4 linked regions of the Schizosaccharomyces pombe genome follow. The protein of the gene in region 1 interacts with the protein of each later gene in a biochemical or structural test. Each region holds a gene or a part of one and is shown on either strand. Other genes may lie near its edges.

Region 1 (6,382 bases):
TTTTTCCAATAATTCATAGGGTTTTCGTTCACCGTCTTAAAGCAATCTTCTCTTACTGGTTCATAGAATTTGGCTTGATTTTTCGCCTTTACCGTTTCAAACAGTAAATCATTGGGAGAGTAAATATCACCTTCTTCTACGGAGGCTGATAAATATGATGGAATATTTGAGCGAACTCTTCTCTGAAATCCTACATTTGAAGATGCTTCAGAATTTCTCTCATTAAATTTTCGATTGTCCGAAAACCCTCTTCGCGTAGAGTTATTAGATTGTATGAGATTGCATAAAATAAATCCTCTGTTTGGAGCTGGAGAAAATATTCGTCTCCCAAGCATTTTTCTCCCGTGCTGTTGTCAAAGTAATATTTCAATGTTTGAAGGTGTTTAGTGAAATAATGAGACACTCGTTAAATAGTTTATAGCTTATGCTTGTGTCTGATAAATGAAAACGTGATGATACCTGAATTTTCTAACTTTTCTGTTTCAAAATAAATGTTTATTTAGATATGAAGTGTTAAACGGGTCATTAAAATCCTATACTAATTTGAAGGCATCACAAACTTGAGCATATACACAGCTTTCACAAGCATAAAAAAAAAGGGAAATTAAAAATTACAGAAGTGGAACTAAGCATAACGTTAACATTATTACTAATTATTATATGATATGATAATAATAAAAAATCTAACGGGTTATTAAACTTCGTTAGTAAATCGTGGCATTTTCCATAAACATAACCAATTATTTGCCATTCAGCAAGATCGTAAACTATGTACAAGAATAATAGGCAGTGTCATCGATCGATCTAAATTATTATGAAAACAGAAGTCAAAAAAAAGTGGATAAACAGTCGGGATTCGAACTTTATGCTAGCAAAGATGAGTAAATGCAACATATCAAGTCGATAACAAACGAGTGACATAAGAAATTAGACAATAAAATAGATGAAAAATAGGAATAATAACTCCTCTGAAGCCGAGTCTACATGTTAGAGAAAGGATTTGCGATATAAAAAACAATCGTTCACTAACATTTTTTCAGTAGACAAAGCACGTACAGTATGTGCGGCGTCAAGGCTTTAAATTAAGGAAACATTCTAGTTCCCCATATCAAGAACTGAATGGCATGTTTCCATAGCCATCATCATATTGCCTCAGATATAATTAACCGGATATTTGACTGAAGAAAACCAAATAGATAATCCGGTGAAAAGGCAAAAAATTAAATAGAAAAACTATCATCTAATAATTTTTTAAAATTTTTTAAAATTTAAGGGTTCGGTTAAAACGGACACGTATCCTTAAATAAAAAAAAAGCATTTAATGAACCAAAATTAATTATAAGCACCAATCACTAAACTTTTCGTTTAAAAATAATTAAAGTGTTTGCTTTTATGAAGCTAAACAGATTTTGGAAGCCATTCCCTTATTTCGCAATTTCGCAGTAATAAACATTGAGAACAAGAGTCTCTAAAAGGTTTAAACATTCACCTGCCAATCTTCCATCATTTGATCACCCTGGGGGTTAGAAGAAGATCCATGAATACCTTCATAAATTATGGCTCCGGCTTTTCTACGCATTTCAACCCAGCAAACCTCATCAGTTGCCAAAATTTGATCTATGGTAGGTCGGTTCCTAGGCTCTGGAGATAGCATCCACTCTACAACGCGATCAAGTCCCCCTTGGCCTATTATACTATTAGCCGGTGTTTCACGAGAAGAAGAAGTAAGAGATGAACCGTTGTCTGTTGAAGAAAGTCGAGGAGCATCTGATAAGTCACCGGAACGTAATTTCTGCCAAGACTGACCGTTATCAGGAAGAACAATGTTAGCAGCAGCTTCGAAGACTGTGATACCCAAACTGAAAATATCAGCAGGTTTATCATACAAATGGTTAGCAAGAACCTCAGGCGCAATGTATTCACAATCACCTTCTCTTTCCATGCCTCTCGGAACAGGCCAAACACTGGCCATTCCAAAATCACCAATCTTCAAGGTACCCTCGAATGTTATCATAACATTAGCAGGCTTTAAATCCAAATGAACATAATTTTTATGATGAATAAACTGTAGCCCAAGAGCTACTTCTACTAATATTTTCCATACCCTAAATTCATCGAGCCTTGAAAGTTGTCCTTGCTCTTCAAGAAAACGATCCAAACTACCATTTTCACACAATTCGACTTGCATATAAAGAAACCCCCCATGTTCCCATGAGTCCATAAGCTCTACAATGTGATCATGGCCTTTAAGGGCTCGTTGAATAGAGACTTCCTGAAGTAGTCGATTACGTTCTTTTGGTCCACTAAACTTTACCTTGAGCTTTTTCACTGCATACTTTAAAGTTTTTTCCACAGGGTCTTCAACTTGAAAAACCTCACTAAACTCTCCACTTCCTAGTAAAGTAACATTTCTAAACCGTGTAAGCAAATGTGAAGTAGATGATGATACTTTGGACGAGGTGAGAGCAGAAGGAAAGGATAATGTAAAGCTTGAAGAAGAGGGTTGAGATACATCAGCTTCTTCCTCCATGGCAAATGACATTTGATTATTATTTCTCGATTTGATAGGCGAAGGTTGCCGACCGTCCATGTGAATGGAAACAGTATTTTCAAACGCAAATGGGTTACGAGTAGGCGTAGCGGGACACCTCTGATTAGATAGAAATGGTAATCCATAGTTGTGAGAAGTTTTTACAGCAGAAGGAGGAGGATCGAACCTCAAAAAGTCCATGGAACTTTTCTCCAACTGAATAGTAGGAATGGAATTGTGATTTGTAGGAGTGTTTTCCCGTTGAATAAAATAAGAGTCGGTTTGTGTATTGGAAGGAGTCGAGGGTGATGGAGGCGAATCTGTGGAGGAAGAATGTGGACGAACAAAGGTAGAGGGTTTTGAAGGAGTACTAGGAGGGAGAGGTGTAAAGTTAATATTCTTTCGCGGACGATGTTGCTTGGATAAAAGACCTGTACTCATAAAAACTTGGGAAGGAGGTTTGATTTGTTGAAAGGGAGTAGTTAACAACTCAGATGAGGGTGGGTTAGGTAGAGTAGCATTGGGGAAAAGGGAGAATGAATTAGAAGAGGAGTTAACCATACTGTTATCAGAAAAGAGGGAAGATTCATTTTGTTGGGTTTGAGGATGTGAGCGATTAGAAGGGATGAAACTTTTCATCATAAATGATGCATCCTTAGAGCTATTTCGTGAATGGTTGTTAGATACGGCAGACTTAGTTTGGCTGGAGGCAAACCCAAGCTTGCGTGCAGTAAGTGGACGAGCGGTAGGAGAAAACAAAGAGGATTGAGCGGAGTTAGAAGGGAAATGATTAGAGGTAGTGTGTCGAGAGGATGGTATGGACGAAAAAAGGGTAGAAGGATTAGCATTATTTGAATTAGGAGGAGCGGGTGTGGAAGTCGATAAAAAATTAGGCGATGAAGTTGCAAAAGGAGAGAAGGAGCCCGATGCAAATGGAGAGATGTGGGAATTTGAGATACGAAAAGAATCAAAATTGTTTTTCTTTCGCAGCTTCTGAGCAGGAGTAGAAGGAGGTATGTGTTGAGAGCTTTGAAGGAAGGGAGATGGAGAGTGGGAAGGAGGGGACATTGCACCGTTTGACATGGAGGAAGAAAAGAAACTTCGTTTTACACCAGTAGATGCATTTTTATGAATGGGAAACGCACGAACGTCTGAGGGTGAAGGGGCAGTATGGTGGATGGGATTAGCCACCTGGGCAACAGGAGAAAGAGATGGAGAATCACCTAACCGAGAGGAAGAGCGTGATACCAGATTGGGTCTATCAAAAAGGGAAGGCCGCCGAGGTACAGGTTGTGCCTGTATCTGGGGTTGTGAATGTGTAAAAGAAGGAGGAGAAAGAGGGTGAAGAGGGGCGGCATGAGAGAAGGAAGGGGAGGAAGTGGTCTGTTTGCGAGGACCGAATAAGCTAGTGAAAGAGGTATTTGGCTTTTGCGAAGAGGTAGATGAAGTAGAATTGTTAGCATCATACAGGCTCGATGGAGTTGGAGGAGCGAGCAAAGTAGCACGATTTAGATTCATGGAGCGTTGGGACCGCCGTAAGCCATAAGATCTATGACTGCTGGTATTAGAAGAAGAGCTCATGTTTTCTGTATGGAAAATGTGGCAATTTAACAAAAAAATAGATATGAAATTTTTGATTTAATTAAATTGAATTGGAATGCAAACGGAACAGATGTACGAACGAACAATCGATAAACGAGGGAAGTGCGAAGCAACTAGGATTTCGTAGGTAAAGCGTAATGCACAGTTGTAAATGGAATAAAGAAAAGGGAGAAAACAAAATGAAAAAGAAAATTCCAACCGATATTCTGAAGGCCTACCACCTCAACAAAAGAGAAGAAATTGAGCCAATGCTCGTAATATTGTCAAAACGAAGGAGAAACGTCAAAAAAAGAGAAATGTTTAATAAATTAAAAATAAATAAGAAGAAAACAAAGGCAAGAGAGCAAAAAAGCTCTCGTTTGCTTCAACGAATTATGTCTATTAATAAGTAAAGTGGTATGTTGAGGTTACGACGAAGATATTGCACCCACCTACTTTTACTAGTACAAAGGGGGGGTTCAAAGCCGCTATAGCCTTAAAGTGTCCAATCCGGTATTAGGGTATGCGTTCCACTCCAGTATTCCTTTAAAGCTGAGTGAGTGAAATTAAGCGATAGCTTATTGTGGAGCACTGAGCCGAGACGTTCCCTAGAAGAAGCCAAAAACAACGAAAAAAGGTTAGCAAACACGGAAGGAAAACAAAGAAACGGAACCACAAAATTTTCAGCAAATTGAACGTCTAAAGCCTATAAAGAAAGAAGCAGATAAGGACGCTTAACAGCTGATTAAAAGGGAGGGGAAACTATTTTTCATAAATAAGGAGAGAATGCGAAAATCACGTCGGAAGGCCGGGTTGAAGGAGGAAGTATTATACCGAAACTGGGCAAAAAATCGTAATTCGTTGGTTAGTGATATTGCTTTCTCCTAGCTAAATATGTATAGTACAGCGTAGTGTAGTGTAGTGTAAGGTAGTTTTGGGATCAGAGCAGCGAGAAGTAGTGAGAGTTGGTGGTGAAAAAAATGTAAACAGAAACAGGAAACGAGTGGATGAGCCGAAACTACGAGTTTTTGAAGGAGATGGTTTTAATGAATGTCCCTTTTTCTTCTTCGCTGCTACAAAAGAAAAAAAAATGGGGAAAAGACAAGAAATATGAATAAGAATGGAAGTAGCTTACTTTTCCGATGGAAGGGAAATGTACCAAAGTAATGACGAAAAGGTCACACACTGGAGACTAACTAGAAGCGGTAAGTGCACGTTAGTATGTCGATCTGTCCATATATATAAAGTAAATAATCAAAGGAAAGATGTAAAATTGGAAATAAATGAGAAAGAAAAGATATGGAAATACGATCCCTAAAATAACATGCAAAAAACAGAAACGGTTCAGATGAATTCAGGCACTTGGCATGGTGAGTGGTGGAAAGAAAGACAGTGTGATGTTGATGAATGAAGGAATAACCAGTAAACAAATGAGAGATCCCGTTAGCGACGGAGACAAAAAAGCGGAAGGAAAACGAAGAGATGAAAAGAGGTGGTGTGAATGGTTTAGCCTGGATTTTGATTTAAAGGAGATGGTAAAAAAAAAAAAATTGTGGAATTAATGTTATTGTTGTTTTAGTAAAAGTAGTGGTGGGTCAATAGAAATAAAATTGGTTTCACTTTGCAAAATGACAATACAATAAAAGTCGTTTAAAAAAAAAAAAAAAAAAAAAAGGGAGAAAAATCACCTTTTAGTCTTTACATGATTCTTCTATTATCTATCGATTCGAACATTTAAGGGTTGCATGGGATAAAGCAGTGCTAGTGTTAAAAGGTAAATAGAAAAAGAGAAGAGAGAAAAGGAATGCAAAAAATTAACAGGGAAGGAAAAAAAGTGCCTCTAAGCATTCAAAAGAGAAGCTAAAATTAAAATAATAAACATGAAATGACTTAAAGAATGATAATTAAAGTTGTTTTATATATCAACGAATATTCTTTTTTCTTGAACATTAGGAAATTGTGTTAGGATTCAGATATCGAAAGGTATGGAAAAAAAAAGGGGGAGACGATAGGAGCAGAAGAAAGTGAAAGGGGGGCAAAGAAGTAAAAAGACAAGAATTAAAAATATTCGGATTTGCAAAAAAAGGAAAAGTCAAGTGTTCTTTTTTTAGAATCCAAACCATCCAAAGTGGAACATTTTAAGAAAGTACAGTGAGAATAATGGTAAATCAGATAGGCGAAGTATCATAGAATTTGTTAGTTACAATGAATGAAACAATCAATAGATAGAGGGAATGATTAATCATCTCAATCTTCTCTCGACATAGAATA
Region 2 (4,434 bases), on another chromosome or scaffold:
ATTTAATTGGTTACCTTTTTCTATGATTAAAGCATGGAAAGTAAAATGTGCATGCGCAGTTTAATGGAAATGCTCTTCCCTCCATGTATTTGCTCCCTTTTCATTCCTCTCAAGCCTCCAAACAAATTTGTCCTGCGTTTCATCTTTAGACGTTATATTTCCAATATGTCTCGTTTCATTCTGTCCAATTACACTTTGCCAGGTTCAATCGTTAGTATGTATCCATGCATCTAGTGGTTTCTCCTGCGCTGTTTAGTTTTACTTCTTGTTTATACGATTTATTAATTTTGAATTTTTCCAAACGCTCTAGGTATAGACTTAAGCTGTAAATGATGCTCGCTTAGCGTTCAATATAGTGTGAAATACAAATATTCATATCACTTTCATCTTGTAAAATTTAATAAACACGTATGTCTGTTGAACAATAAGCACATTTACGTTCTTTTACCGTTTGCTCGTAAAATTAATTCACCTCTTTGATACTAAATACATCTAAGTAAGTGCAGTTTATATGTTCAGAGCAAACACGAACACTAAAAACTAAAGTCTAAAGAATATACACCTTTTTTAATACTTAAGTATAAAAAATATGTAAATAGAATATAGTATAAATGAGGATTAAAAAACTGGAAAACAAAGGATAAGAGTAAGTAAGAAAAAGGGAGATTAAAAGGCTTCAGTTTTATCAGGAATGAAAGAAAAATAGATTTAAACACTCAGAGCCTGCTTTTGTAAAAAGAACGGCGATAATTCCCTTGACAGTCAAAGAAAGCATTTAAAGTGATATTTACAATAAAGACACAGTAAAGGGAACAGAACTAAAAACGTTACTAAATTCACATTTAATGGCAAGCTCAATATGTCAGTGTTTTTTATATGCCCTGTAAATTGCCCATTGTTTGAGTATGTTTTGAACAAACGCCAAGATTCGAAAAAGAAGGAGGAAAATAAATATTTTCGGTTTATAAATTGAGGTAATTTGTTAATAACTGATATCAAGAAACACAGCAAAGTACAGATAAAGTCAAGGATAGCGTTTTTAAAGGTTTAATAATAAGAGACGAAAATTAATGAAAATCACGAAGATAATTTTGTTGCAAAGCTCGTTTTGCACTAATGCGATGGGCAGGGTCATAAACAAGCATAGCCTTGACAAAATGGTTAGTAATTAGTCTTAAATAGATGGTAATGCAAAATCTTACAGAGAGTAATTCAATAGCGTCCTCTTCACCATTGGGAACAACTTTATGCAAATCCATGCGTTTCCAACGAGGAAATGTGGATTTGTAATCTTGCAAAAGCGTGACTCCAGGCCATACTTCTTCGTTTGGGGTACCTAAAACTTGAAAAATTTTAAAAATTTCGTCGATCTCAGAGTCACCGGGAAATAATGGACTTCGTCGAATCATTTCAGCAAAAATACATCCAACGCTCCAAATATCAACCCCAGTGGAATAATGTCTTGATCCCAACAATACTTCAGGAGCACGATACCATAAAGTGACAATCTAAACGGTTAGCGACACAAATTAATGCTGAAAGACCGTCAGTCAATATTCCAAATTTTTTGGGAATAAAGTCATACAGCCAAGTAAGAAAAAAAATATACCTCATGCGTATAGTTCCGCAAAGGGACACCAAATGACCTCGCAAGTCCAAAATCTGCTAGCTTCAAATTGCCTTCTTTGTCTATCAACAAATTTTGTGGTTTTAAATCGCGATGAATGATTCTTCTAGAATGGCAAAAATTTACACCGTTCACTAGCTGGTAGGTAAACTTTTGAACAAGTCTCGGATCTAAACTAGTGGCCCCAGTTTCTGAAATTCGGTCCATGTATTTTTTCAAATCCATGTCTAAAAACTCAAAAACAAGATACAACTTTGATTCAGCATGTAAAATATCCAAAAGTCTTAAAAAAGGGTTAGAAACAAAGTTTTATCAATGTAAACATTTCCCATGCATCCGTCAAGTAAAAACTTACCGAACACAATTTGATCGATTATTCTCATCATTCACTTCTTTAAGAAGCGAAATTTCACGAATAGCTGTGCTAGGAACTCCCTCAGATTCATCTTCAAGGCGAATTTTTTTCATGGCCACAATACGCCCTGACAATTTATGTCTTGCTTTATAAACAACGCCATAGGTTCCTAGCATTAGTCAGTATACGTGACAGAAAAGAAATTGGATAAGTCATAGCTTCCTCAGTTACACCTACCTTCCCCAATTTTTTCGACTTTTTGATAATTCTCCATTGCAAACCACTAAAAGAAGCAACCTAGCGGTATGTTTTTTGGAAAATAATTTTTCTAATATCTGTTAATAGAGATGCGAGAATGATCTCAAAATACGTTTATACAAATTTGCTTATGTTGTGTTGTGCTGTGGGTAAGCTTGCTCAACTAGCGATAGACTAGTGGAAACGCAGAGGACTATTATCAAACCGAACTTAGGGCTAGCGCTTCATGTTTCTAACTTATGAATTATACTGTTATCAAAAATGAAATTAGAAAAGTAGGACATAACTCATTACTTGCAATTTATACTAGGTGATCAGATATGAAGAACTACATAATCAAAACATCATCTGAAGACATTGTATAACCGTGAATTAAAAAATTGTAAATGTGAATATCAGTCAAAAAAGTGCTATTATTAAATAAATAAATTTACGGTAGGTTGGATTATCCTGAGTTGTCTAATATTTATAGACTAACCCTTTAAGATAAATGTGAAATTGTAAAAACTGTCAAAGACTTCTCCACCTGCTCGCAAAGAAAACAAAACATTTTTTTTTATTTAAAAGAAAAATAAATAAATAAATATCACACTTATAAAAACAAGCAGAATCCGTGTGTATGTCAGAAGTTACAGAGTCATAAAAAAAATCCAGATAGATAAAAAGCATTGCGAAGGAGAAAAGGTAAAAAAAAGTTAATATAAATAATAACTATTACTAGGGAACAGCATTGAATAAGTCAATATTCATTTACGACGAAGACTTTCGAGTTAACCACACTAATGAACTATCCCCGTGTACACACAGGTGTAAAATGAATGATCTTATATTTCTGCAGTAAAATATGTATTAATCGTTCATCTAATGTAATTTTTCTTGCGAGAAACACTTGTCAATAATGCAGTTGAACTCAATAACATAATCGATGCATGAAATTCCCTTAAAAGAAATCATTGCCAAAGTCATTACCTCCATAATCATCAAAATTGTTGTAGTTATTATCATCTACATAAACAACTTCTTCAGGACGATCAAAAGCTTCGTCCATTTCATGCATAGCCAAACCACCGACAAGAAGTCCGCCCAAACCAGTCACCATGGGATTAGACAAGACTCCGCTACGACCTCTTCTTGCAGAAGTAGCAGGCTGGGCATATACGGGTTGTGCGTAGGCAGGCTGGGCTGGGTAATAATTTGGTTGATTGGGATAATAATATGGTTGTTGAGGATAACCGCCCTGAGGGGGATAAGGCTGTGGAGCGGCCCCGTATGCTCTGTTTTGGGAAGCTGCGGGAGCAGGAGCAGGAGCAGCAGAAGAAGCAGAAGCGGCAGGAGTGGCAGGAGCGGCTGAGTTGGAATAAGAAGGAGGCGGTCCACTTGGGGGAGCAGAGTGGTCCACCGAAGGAGGTGGTGGAATAGTTAAACCACGGACCGGACATTCCCATTGCGGCTTTGCTTTGGGATCACTTTCATTAACATAAAAGTAACACTTGTAGCGTTCATCCCACTGAGCGACCCAGCCATTAGGGAGACCTTCACGAGTTTGATAAGCCATAATGGAATTTAAGAAATATGTTGAGTATAAATTGAGAGAAAAGTTTGGAATGAAGGGAATATCTTAAAAAATAATTTTTTTGGTAAAAAAGACAGTTAACAAAAAATAAATGAATTCTAATACTTCTATCTGCTCTGTACGCAAGAAGTAATGGTAACAACAAATGGAAAGAGAAAGAATACTTCTAGATAGTTGGCCTTTTGCAAATGAAAAAGCAATTGATCAAATAAATGAAATTCCGCGTATGATGGTGAGATAATTATAGTGGTTAAGATCGATAAGAAGGTTGGAGAAGTTTGATGCTAGCAGCAGTCATGGAGCTATTCGTGGTGAAAGGTGCCACTAGTATGCTTAATTTCTTAAACTAATATTCAGCTATACAGTGATTCTTATAGGCAGTTTTTTTTTAAATTTGTTATCTATTACATTACATTATAACGAAACTACTTGAGCAATGTAAGTAATCAATATTCATATAGCGATACTTAGCTGTTTCTACAAATCTACAGATATTATACAGGTAATTGAAAGTCTCAAAGAAGTGAAGAAGCGGATAAGTTCATCACTCTTAAACATTACTTTGAAAACCGCCGAACAAAACTTTATAAAGCTTAGAATAAAAATTGAATCACCACGCTG
Region 3 (3,695 bases), on another chromosome or scaffold:
ACGCTTTCCATTTAATAATGTGATTATGGTGTATGATTTCAATGCCAGAGCAGGATTTAAGTTAATAACAATATTAAGAAACGAATGCTGAGGGGCCAAGGTAATCACTGAAACTTCCGTAGAATTTAAGCTTGGGCAAGGCAAATACATACGAAGGGGATTCGGCAATGGTAATTGTGGAGGACTGCAAATAAATGCAGAAAGAATGCAACGTTCAGTATTAGGTATGTCTTCAAAAAATTTGGGTTCTGGAAAATTTGGCATATTAAAAGTACTACGACCCATCACCGATTTATGAGAGAAATTTAAAAAATCCGGAACAGGAGTTGAAGGAAACGATTTAATAAGGGCAAATGCTCCGTAATTAGCTTGAGATAATGTATCCATGGGTGATGGAACATCTTCGGGTATGGGAGTTTGGTCCTTTTCAGATTCTTTTGAGAAACTTTCAACATGAGCCTCCTCTGACTTCAAAACATCTGGAGTGGCTGCCTGATCACTGGTTATAAAAGATGGGGCGACTGAAGTAGAACGTTCGCGTGAAGTTGAAGCAGATACAGAAGGAGTTGGAGATGCGGGGGTTTCCTCGGGTTCATGCTTTGAAGTTGCAGGAGAGTGTTCCTTAGGTTGTTCGGAAAATGAAGAAATAAGGGAAGATGAAAGTTGAGAAAGCTTTTCAGCATCTTCATAGACAAAACTTCCGGGGGCGTTATACGTTTTGGCGTTAATAAACATTTGATTTAAGTCTTTTACAAAGCTTTCCAAAGTCGTATACTCTCCCTTTTTAAACCTTTTTTCCAACATTTTTATAGTCATAGGGGATTTGATAATTTCATAGTAATCCGGGTACAAACGTTTGCTAGGAAGGTCTATAAATATATCAATTAAAAAACGACCTTGTTCATCCTTTTCTTCATGTAAGGCATCTAAGATATTTTGAATAACCTTTGGAACATCAATCTCATTAGTGCCAGGTTTGTGTTCCTCGTTGATGCTTGACTCCATTTCCTCATTCTCTTCCTCATTCAAAGTTCCATCCTTGCTTTCTAATGAATTAGCAGTATTTGCAATAAGCACAGAACATTCATAGACGAGGCTTCCAGGCATATTGTAAGTCTGCGCATTGCTAACCATAAGCCGAATATCATCGTAAAAGTCACCCATTGACAGATATTTACCAGTCTTCGCCTTGTTGCGCATCATCTTGTAGCAAATCGGCTTTTGAATGATTTGATAGTAATCTGGAAAATATCGTTTGGAAGGAAGTTCTTCAAAAATGTCATCAAATGGATTACCTCTATTTTAAATAAATTATTAGTAAATGGACATGCGACACCTAACTCCTTTCAATACATACTCGTTGTCCTTTAAACCCACCAATGCTTCTAAAACTTCATCAAACTTGGTCTTATCGAATGGGGCATTATGACTATCATCAACCTATAAATATTAGTATGTTGTAACAAAACACGGGACATGAGAATATACCATTTTAAATAATTTATTATATTGCAACGTTTATGTACAATGAATAGAGTATATCAACTTTAATTAGGTCCGCTTGCGACTGTATATTCCAAAATAATACACAATTTTTCGAATTACAATAAGAAACCGTTCACTTTATAAACTGAATTTTGGGAATTATTATATAGACCAAAAAGGCTTTGAAAAAGAAATAGCTAGCGCAAAAAACCTGTTTTCTGCAACCGATAACTTTCGTTTTAGGTATAGAGTGTTGAGTTGAAGCCCAAAGTTGTGTGTTACCTAAAGTGAGTACTGTTACTTTAAGTCTAAAACGAAATTTAGCGACCTTTAACGGATCACCCAAGTCCTAGAGTATCCTATACTTTACCCATCTCAAAGAAAAGTTATTCTTTTTGAGTATTAAGGAGGAGATATGTCGAAAAGTGGTGTGCCACGTCTTTTAACTGCTTCTGAGCGTGAACGTCTAGAGCCATTCATTGATCAAATCCATTATTCTCCTAGGTATGATGATATTGTTAAAGAAACTGCCATACTTTGGGAATTCTCTAGGTTCTTTGTTTTCCCCTAAAACGAGACTCTTGTATCTTATTTGAGCAAATGCTAATCGATGAAATAGATATGCTGATGATGAATATGAATATCGACATGTTATGTTACCAAAAGCAATGCTAAAAGCGATACCCACCGATTATTTCAATCCAGAGACTGGAACGCTTCGAATCCTTCAAGAAGAAGAATGGAGAGGACTTGGAATTACTCAAGTAAGTAATCAAGGATTTTAACTGCTCAAAAACAAACTGACATTTATTTAGAGTCTGGGATGGGAAATGTATGAAGTCCATGTCCCAGAGCCACACATCCTGCTATTTAAGCGTGAAAAAGATTATCAAATGAAATTTAGTCAACAACGGGGTGGTTAAGTTTGTCAACTCCAACGTTTCTGTTTTACTTTATCAAAAAAATATTAGTTCATGGATGCGAAACATATTGACTTTTTAGGCATTCAATACGCTGCTTTTTTTTATCAAGCTCACTGAGTGTTTCATGTGGGAGTCGCTAAAAATGATAATGAATTATCTTCGCCATTTATGTTTGCTACAGACTAACAACATATTTGGGCAATTCCTACTTTTTTTTCACTGTAGATATACTTTACTGGTTCTTTTTATTTTCTTTCAAAATCATCTTTCTATTTTCTTTTATCTTTATTTTTTATCGTTTATCGTTTAATATAGAATCTCTGTCTTTTCATTCACGTTAGCATAGAGTTTGATCAACCACAAACTAGTTTTTTACATTCCTCCTTTAGAAGTTTAAAGCACTCCTACTGGTTCCTGCTCACCTTCAAACCATTCCGTCTCAAAGACGATTGATTCCTAGATGTTTGCAATTGATGAATCCCTATCGGTTAAGTCAGACTTTACAATGCACATTTTTCTCTAAAAAATGTGAAAACGTACGTTATCATTAAGTGATATTTTGTATATTAGGCTAGAACATTTTGCGTTTCATGCCACTGATTCAGTTGCCTTTTATTCAAAAATGTTGTCAAACTTTACAAAATTTTAGTAAGAAACTCACTTATAGTACTTAACAAAAATTTCCGAAAAAAACTTACTTTTATTTATAAATTCCGTAGTTATGTAGTTTAACATTACCTTTGTTCAAACTAGCTGTGATTAGCTTGTTTAAAATCTTCATATACTTATAATAACAACGTAAAAAATGTCTCATGACTCCATTTGTTTACAATCAGCGAAGATAATCAATACATTTTTGCAATGCCAAGTGTTTTATTAAGAAAAACATGGAGATACATCTGTAGTAATTGTGACTCATATTTCCAACTGTTAATCTATTGCGTCAGGTGCTTCCATTCTTTAATTTCCACATGTATTACTCAATTTAGTTCTAAAACAATACAATACTAGGACTCCTCTGTCATCTTAACAAATTTGCTTGATCAGCCCATATTAGCTATCACAAATGGCTACTCAGTTAAGTTGCGCACACTTACATGCTTTACAAAAACCTCTTCAACATTCTCTACATGAAAAATACTTACGATAAAAAGATGGACGTAAATTTATTAAGAACAAAAGGTAAGCTTAATCTGAACGTTTTCAATGAATTACGGTTCAAATGGTATAAAGGTAAAAAGTTAAGCTAAATAGACAAGAAATATCGTTGACTTCAGCGCTTATATT
Region 4 (5,435 bases), on another chromosome or scaffold:
GGAACTATACATTCAGCAGCCGCGTACAAATCATATCCAGCAGAATTTGCAGAGCCTTTAGTAGGAATGGTTGCTTTTTCAGAAAGTTTTTGAACGAAAAAACTCATGTTTAAACTATAAAACTGTGTAATTTCACAGACAATAGAATTCTTGATTGGGAATGAGTGTTTGCAATAGATACTGGCGTTGCATATAAATTTGAAGTTACGCGACACGTTGCGGTTGACGGCGCGTCGCGTTTGTTTACATTTAGTCAAGATATACACCGTACAACATACCTAATATATAAACGTAGACAGTGTATAAAAACTTTCTAAAGAGGTAAACGTTTATAGGAATTATTTCTTCATATTTTATTTATTGCGATAACTCTTAAACCTCAATTTTATTACTAAACACTCCGGAATATTCGACAATTTTCAAAAACCAACAGACGTTATTACATAAAAACACCCAAATTTCATATAAAACTAATGTTCACAACAAAATTTTACTTTATACAGACTACTGATTTCTGGAAAGCGATTGTAATAGAAGATATTCATTAGTTACATATATAAACTAGTGTGCCCAAATCATTAACAGATATATAACGTAAAACCCTAAAACCATTAAATTGCTAATAGACTCAAAGGTCCAATTGCCAAAAAAGATCATTAAATTCGTAGAAAGGTACAGGTACACACGACGGGAGATCCAAAAAAAATAATTATCATCCTCATTAAATTATAAACAGATCTTAACATTTGAATAGCCGCCCACAGTATAGACATTAATGGTTGATTTTGAGGAAGAAGACTGTGTTTTTGAAAAAATTCCTATTTAATCCTTCCGAAAGAATGAAGAAATCTTTCGTAATACAGAACCGGAAGAAACTTTTCTGGGAGTATATCTTGCATTAGTAGCATATTGAGAATATCTCCGACTTGGAACTGGAGATGAACATAAAGGAGCAGAAGCAGATCTCACATTAGTTATGTTCGGCTGCATATTACTGATTACAGGAAAAGATATGGGACGTCTATTTTGATTGCCTGATCCTTGAACAAAGCCTCCAACCTGGACATCGTCCAAATTGGTTAGCCCATCTATTGATGGTTCAGGAGTTGAAAGTGAATCAGGAGTGTAGTAGCCACTGGCTGTGCTAGACAGAGTGGTGCTAGGAAAGATGCGGACATAGCCATACCGATTGAATGGTACGGATTCTAATTGCTCAAGGGTAGGAGTGGGGAGAGATTGTAAGTCCAGAGAATCAGTTCTAACATTATCAGTTGAATAAGTATACTCTTCTGGTGGACAAACAAACATATAATTATAGTCATCATCCAAAGTCGATGGGTTTGAAACTACTTCATGACAGGCATAGCTGTCATAATCCTTGTCAGAAGACACCCTGATCGGTATTGGAGATTGAGACATTTGATTTAAGGCTGAAAGCGGACTAGAAACTCTTCTAGCAAGTTCATCTTCAAAATTACTACTTTTGCGAGAGTTTGTCGAAACATTGGATTTTACTAACGATGTTGTTGAAATAGAAGCTTTGGTGAAAAGATTATTGTCGTGAATTAAATCGTAAAGACTGAGATATTTATTTTCATCAAAACGTTGTTTTTTCAACATATCATCGCGCAAAATCTCGGATAAAACTTTATACACATATTTTTCGTCGTTATCATCTCGCTGTTGAAGACGACGAACGACTTTTTTAGAGGATGATTTTTTCCAAAGCACACACATGCAATCAACTACTAATGGATCAATTTCGTCAATTGACAGTGAAGGGGTAGGAGGGGTAGTGCTATCCATAGAGCTCAATGATGTACAGCCCATTAGAAATGGATGAGAAAAAACTTCCGGAATTGTTATACGCGTGCTTGGATTTACATCTAGCATTCTGTGTAACAAATCTTGCGCAGCCGAAGAAATTGAAGAAGGAAGATCATATGCGCCATGGCGAATCTTATTATAAATAACATCTGTGTTTTGACCACCAAAGGGGAGCTTATTCGACAACAATGAATACAAGATGACACCACAAGACCAAACATCAGCAGGAGCTCCACGATATGGTTTGTGAGATACAATTTCGGGAGCCAAATAATGTAAAGAGCCGCAATAATTCTCAAGACAAGAGTCATTTGGTTCAACAGTGGCCATGCCAAAATCAGCTATTTTAATTTGTTGCTCATTTACCTTGATGAGAATATTCTCAAGTTTTAAATCCCGATGGCGAAAGCGAAAGCGATGACAATGCGCTACAGCATCAAGAATTTGGGAAAGATAATGCGCAGCCTCTCTTTCGCTCAAAGGTCCATGTTTGCGTATATAGTGAAAAAGCTCACCATCAGGGACGTACTCGAGTGCTAAGTACATATGCTGATGATCGGTCCAAACATCGTATAGTCGAAGAATATTAGGATGGCGCAACAAACGCATCATTAAGATTTCCATTCCTATGGAGGCATATCGAATAGGGATAATTTTGATGGCAGCCAAATCACCAGTTTTAGCATGCTTGGCAAGACGCACACAGCTAGTGGAACCAGTCCCTAAAGTCTTCCCAAGACGCCATACGCCAATAGTATTTTTGTGTCGCTTCACCATTCAAATCTAACCTTTTATTAAGGGAAAAGGCTTTCCAAAAGTAAAATTGCAGACTGAATAATAGCAACTTCAGAAAATCTGAAATACTTATGATGAAAAGTAGAATAAATGTCGAAAAAGTAGCATGAAATTTGGAATAAGTAAAGGAAAAAGTGAATGACACCACGATACAAAATAGGGTGTGATCACAAAATAGATACTGGAAACGAATTAATAAAATAAGAGTGCCTCATAAATAACCTAAAGCACTTTTCTGAGTGTATTGTAGAACAGAAAAGTGAAACGTGGAACGGAAATAGACGGACCTTGAAAAAAAAATGGGAAGTAGCACAAGAACACAAATAACAAATGTAAGTTACAAGACGTTTTGAGTAACAGCAATAAAAAAAGGTAAAGACAAAGAAAAAGAAACGAAGGGGAGCGTAAAATAAAGAAAGTATGTAAAGTGTATAAGATTCGTGATGTATAAATCCAATAAAGGTTAAGTTAATGATATTCGAATAAGGATTGAACTTTCATAAATTAAAAGAGAGAAGAAACAAGAAAGGAGAAAGTAAAAATGGAAATATTGGGGCGGTCAAATAGTTGAAAAAGGTAGAATAAAATAAACTAACGGATTTTAATTCAAACCCTGTATAATCAGATAAAAATATGGAGAACAGTAAGTAAAACAAAGAAAGATGAATGAATAAATAAATAATATGTAGAACAACCCACTATATAGAAGGCCTACAGATGTTTCAAAATATCGATCTACAATATTAATACAAACAGGATCCCAGCAATTCCTAAAATCGAAAACAATGCTGAGTTCTTATGCAGAGTAGTCCAAAAGACGGAATTGGCCAAGATAAGTTTGGCAGAGGACAACATGAATGCTGGAGGAGCGGATATAAGTGTTCAAGAGTAGGGAAGGGTGGGGCACTACTTGGACTTGATCAGGGAACATATGAAGAGTGTATTGAAGGCTTACGATTATTTCGGCGGATCACGATAGGATGACTTAAGGAACGGAAGCAATCCACTACTTGGTTTCTAGTCCTTGAGGGTGGTAATCTCAGGCTCATAGTGCTGTCTTGATAAAAACTTGAATATTAACAGCTGATTTATAGCTGTAGAGCAAATTTTATTTAGTTTTTCAGTTTCGCTTTATGAAGTTTAATTAATATTCATATTGTAGTAAAATCGAACCGTTAAAGTTGTCTTTTCTTCTCTTATTTACATTTTCGTTAAAAGCAACTTTAGCAGTCTTTTCTGCTTCTTTCACATTTGTTTACGTAGTACTCGTTTTGGCAATCTAGGAGCAAGTTATTGCAATAGATGAATATTTTTTCTTGTTTTACTCGTGTAGTTTTAGCAGGGAATTCCAGTTTTTCATCGAAAAGTAACACGACTTGGTAGCACGGTCAAGAACCCGTTCTACTTCGGGGATAACCAGGGACATGATGCATACCATATCTGATAACACATGCCATTACACTTTTTTTGAAAATTTGAGCAAAAAAAATAATGAAAACAGGTACTTGAAATCTGACAAGTGTTAGAGCCGGCTTCATGCCAAACATTGAAACTTGCTTCAATAATAGATGAAATCTCAGTATATAATGAATGTATTGAACGGGTTACTGAAGTTCATTTCATCATTATAAGCGAATATTGGATGTTTGAAATCGTCTTCATCCTATGGTATGAATAACAACGACTGTCGTGAAAAGTTGATGAAAGACTATAGGCCCCGCTTAAGAAATTACGATATTATAAAGAATCTATAATTTTCTACAATTTAATTGAAATTTTTATATTTGGAGGCGAAAACTTATTCTTTTTCAGCTTGCTCAACTTTATGTGACTTTTTTACATGGTATATCAACATGAACATTCTTACTGCAAATATTTCAACTAAATAAATTCATTAAATTTTTATTAGACAATAAAAATATACTATAGCAACTTGAGAGCTGCAATACGTGTACGCCACAAACAATTGAGAAACAAACAGAAATTGTTTACACAGTTTCGCTGTTTTCAAAATATAACCACGGGTAAGTAATACAGTTGGCATACAACATTTGGGTAACCTACCATAATTATCAATTGAGCGCAAGAATGGCTTGGATACTGACTCAACCCCAGTCTACTGAATCGACGATGTTTGGAAAATCGAATGAAACCAGCAAAACCGATCCTTCACCTTTAACTATCGGTAATCCAAGTTTGATTATCGAGCAAAGATGTGGTTGGTGCTTGGACAGATGGATCTACTTGATTGCTTGATATTTTTCGGTGTCAGTTCGTTACGCTAAAATGACTAAGAAAAATGAACACAGCCTCGATAAACAAATATCATCAGTGCGATCCAACAGCGGTATTTGTCTGAGTTTCTGGTTTACATTCCGAGCCACATGAAAGATAGGCGTTACAGGGCTCGGGAATGCAGCCGAAGCCGTTCAAAGTTGTCAATAAAGAACGTTTGGTAGAAGTGTCCAACAGCAACGAAGTGTTGATGACTTGTTGCCAATGATGAATTTCTTCACTATTGAGTTGGACTTTGGAATGTGAGTGGTCGTACCAACAACTACGGGTATATGGCCTTATTGCAGTGTAAGATTATCTCATTGTCATACAAAGTGGGCAACTTCATACGCAAGGCGTGGGTTTCATGAACACACAAAACGAATCGAGATGATCATCGTTGGATACTCGCTTGATGCAGCTGCTAACGGAGATGCACAAAGCAATCGAACTTTACCATGACATATCCGAAACATGCTAAGATCTTGTTGATGCATTCGTTGACGTTTTTTCAAGATGTTTCGTAATTTCTATACCCC

Evidence for each region.
Region 2: of the proteins of wee1 (region 1) and cdc2, one has a biochemical effect on the other in vitro, tested with the Schizosaccharomyces pombe proteins (3 studies listed by BioGRID).
Region 3: the proteins of wee1 (region 1) and suc1 form a complex in vitro, tested with the Schizosaccharomyces pombe proteins (one study listed by BioGRID).
Region 4: of the proteins of wee1 (region 1) and cdr1, one has a biochemical effect on the other in vitro, tested with the Schizosaccharomyces pombe proteins (2 studies listed by BioGRID).

The regions. Positions count from the first base shown.
Region 1 is NC_003421.2:719,963-726,344, reverse strand, and holds wee1 (protein kinase Wee1), read right to left. Parts: upstream 4,542-6,382; 5' UTR 4,112-4,541; coding exon 1,478-4,111; 3' UTR 510-1,477; downstream 1-509. Other genes in the region: rsm18 (mitochondrial 37S ribosomal protein bS18m), read right to left, coding at 1-335. UniProt on the Schizosaccharomyces pombe protein: Protein kinase that acts both on serines and on tyrosines. It acts as a dosage-dependent negative regulator of entry into mitosis (G2 to M transition). Phosphorylates and inhibits cdc2.
Region 2 is NC_003423.3:1,498,162-1,502,595, reverse strand, and holds cdc2 (cyclin-dependent protein kinase Cdk1/Cdc2), read right to left. Parts: upstream 2,389-4,434; 5' UTR 2,353-2,388; exon of another isoform or gene 2,311-2,352; 5' UTR 2,257-2,310; coding exon 2,220-2,256; exon of another isoform or gene 2,152-2,219; coding exon 1,983-2,151; exon of another isoform or gene 1,911-1,982; coding exon 1,610-1,910; intron 1,509-1,609; coding exon 1,203-1,508; intron 1,149-1,202; coding exon 1,068-1,148; 3' UTR 501-1,067; downstream 1-500. Other genes in the region: protein wwm1, read right to left, coding at 3,181-3,795.
Region 3 is NC_003423.3:1,086,984-1,090,678, reverse strand, and holds suc1 (cyclin-dependent protein kinase regulatory subunit Suc1), read left to right. Parts: upstream 1-1,846; 5' UTR 1,847-1,900; coding exon 1,901-1,989; exon of another isoform or gene 1,990-2,104; coding exon 2,105-2,249; intron 2,250-2,300; coding exon 2,301-2,408; 3' UTR 2,409-3,141; downstream 3,142-3,695. Other genes in the region: RSC complex bromodomain subunit Rsc4, read right to left, coding at 1-1,297, 1,358-1,440, 1,489-1,491.
Region 4 is NC_003424.3:2,678,943-2,684,377, forward strand, and holds cdr1 (serine/threonine protein kinase (NIM1 family) Cdr1/Nim1), read right to left. Parts: upstream 3,466-5,435; 5' UTR 2,605-3,465; coding exon 823-2,604; 3' UTR 526-822; downstream 1-525. Other genes in the region: dut1 (deoxyuridine 5'-triphosphate nucleotidohydrolase), read right to left, coding at 1-107. UniProt on the Schizosaccharomyces pombe protein: This protein, a dose-dependent mitotic inducer, appears to function as a negative regulator of mitosis inhibitor wee1 by phosphorylating and inactivating it.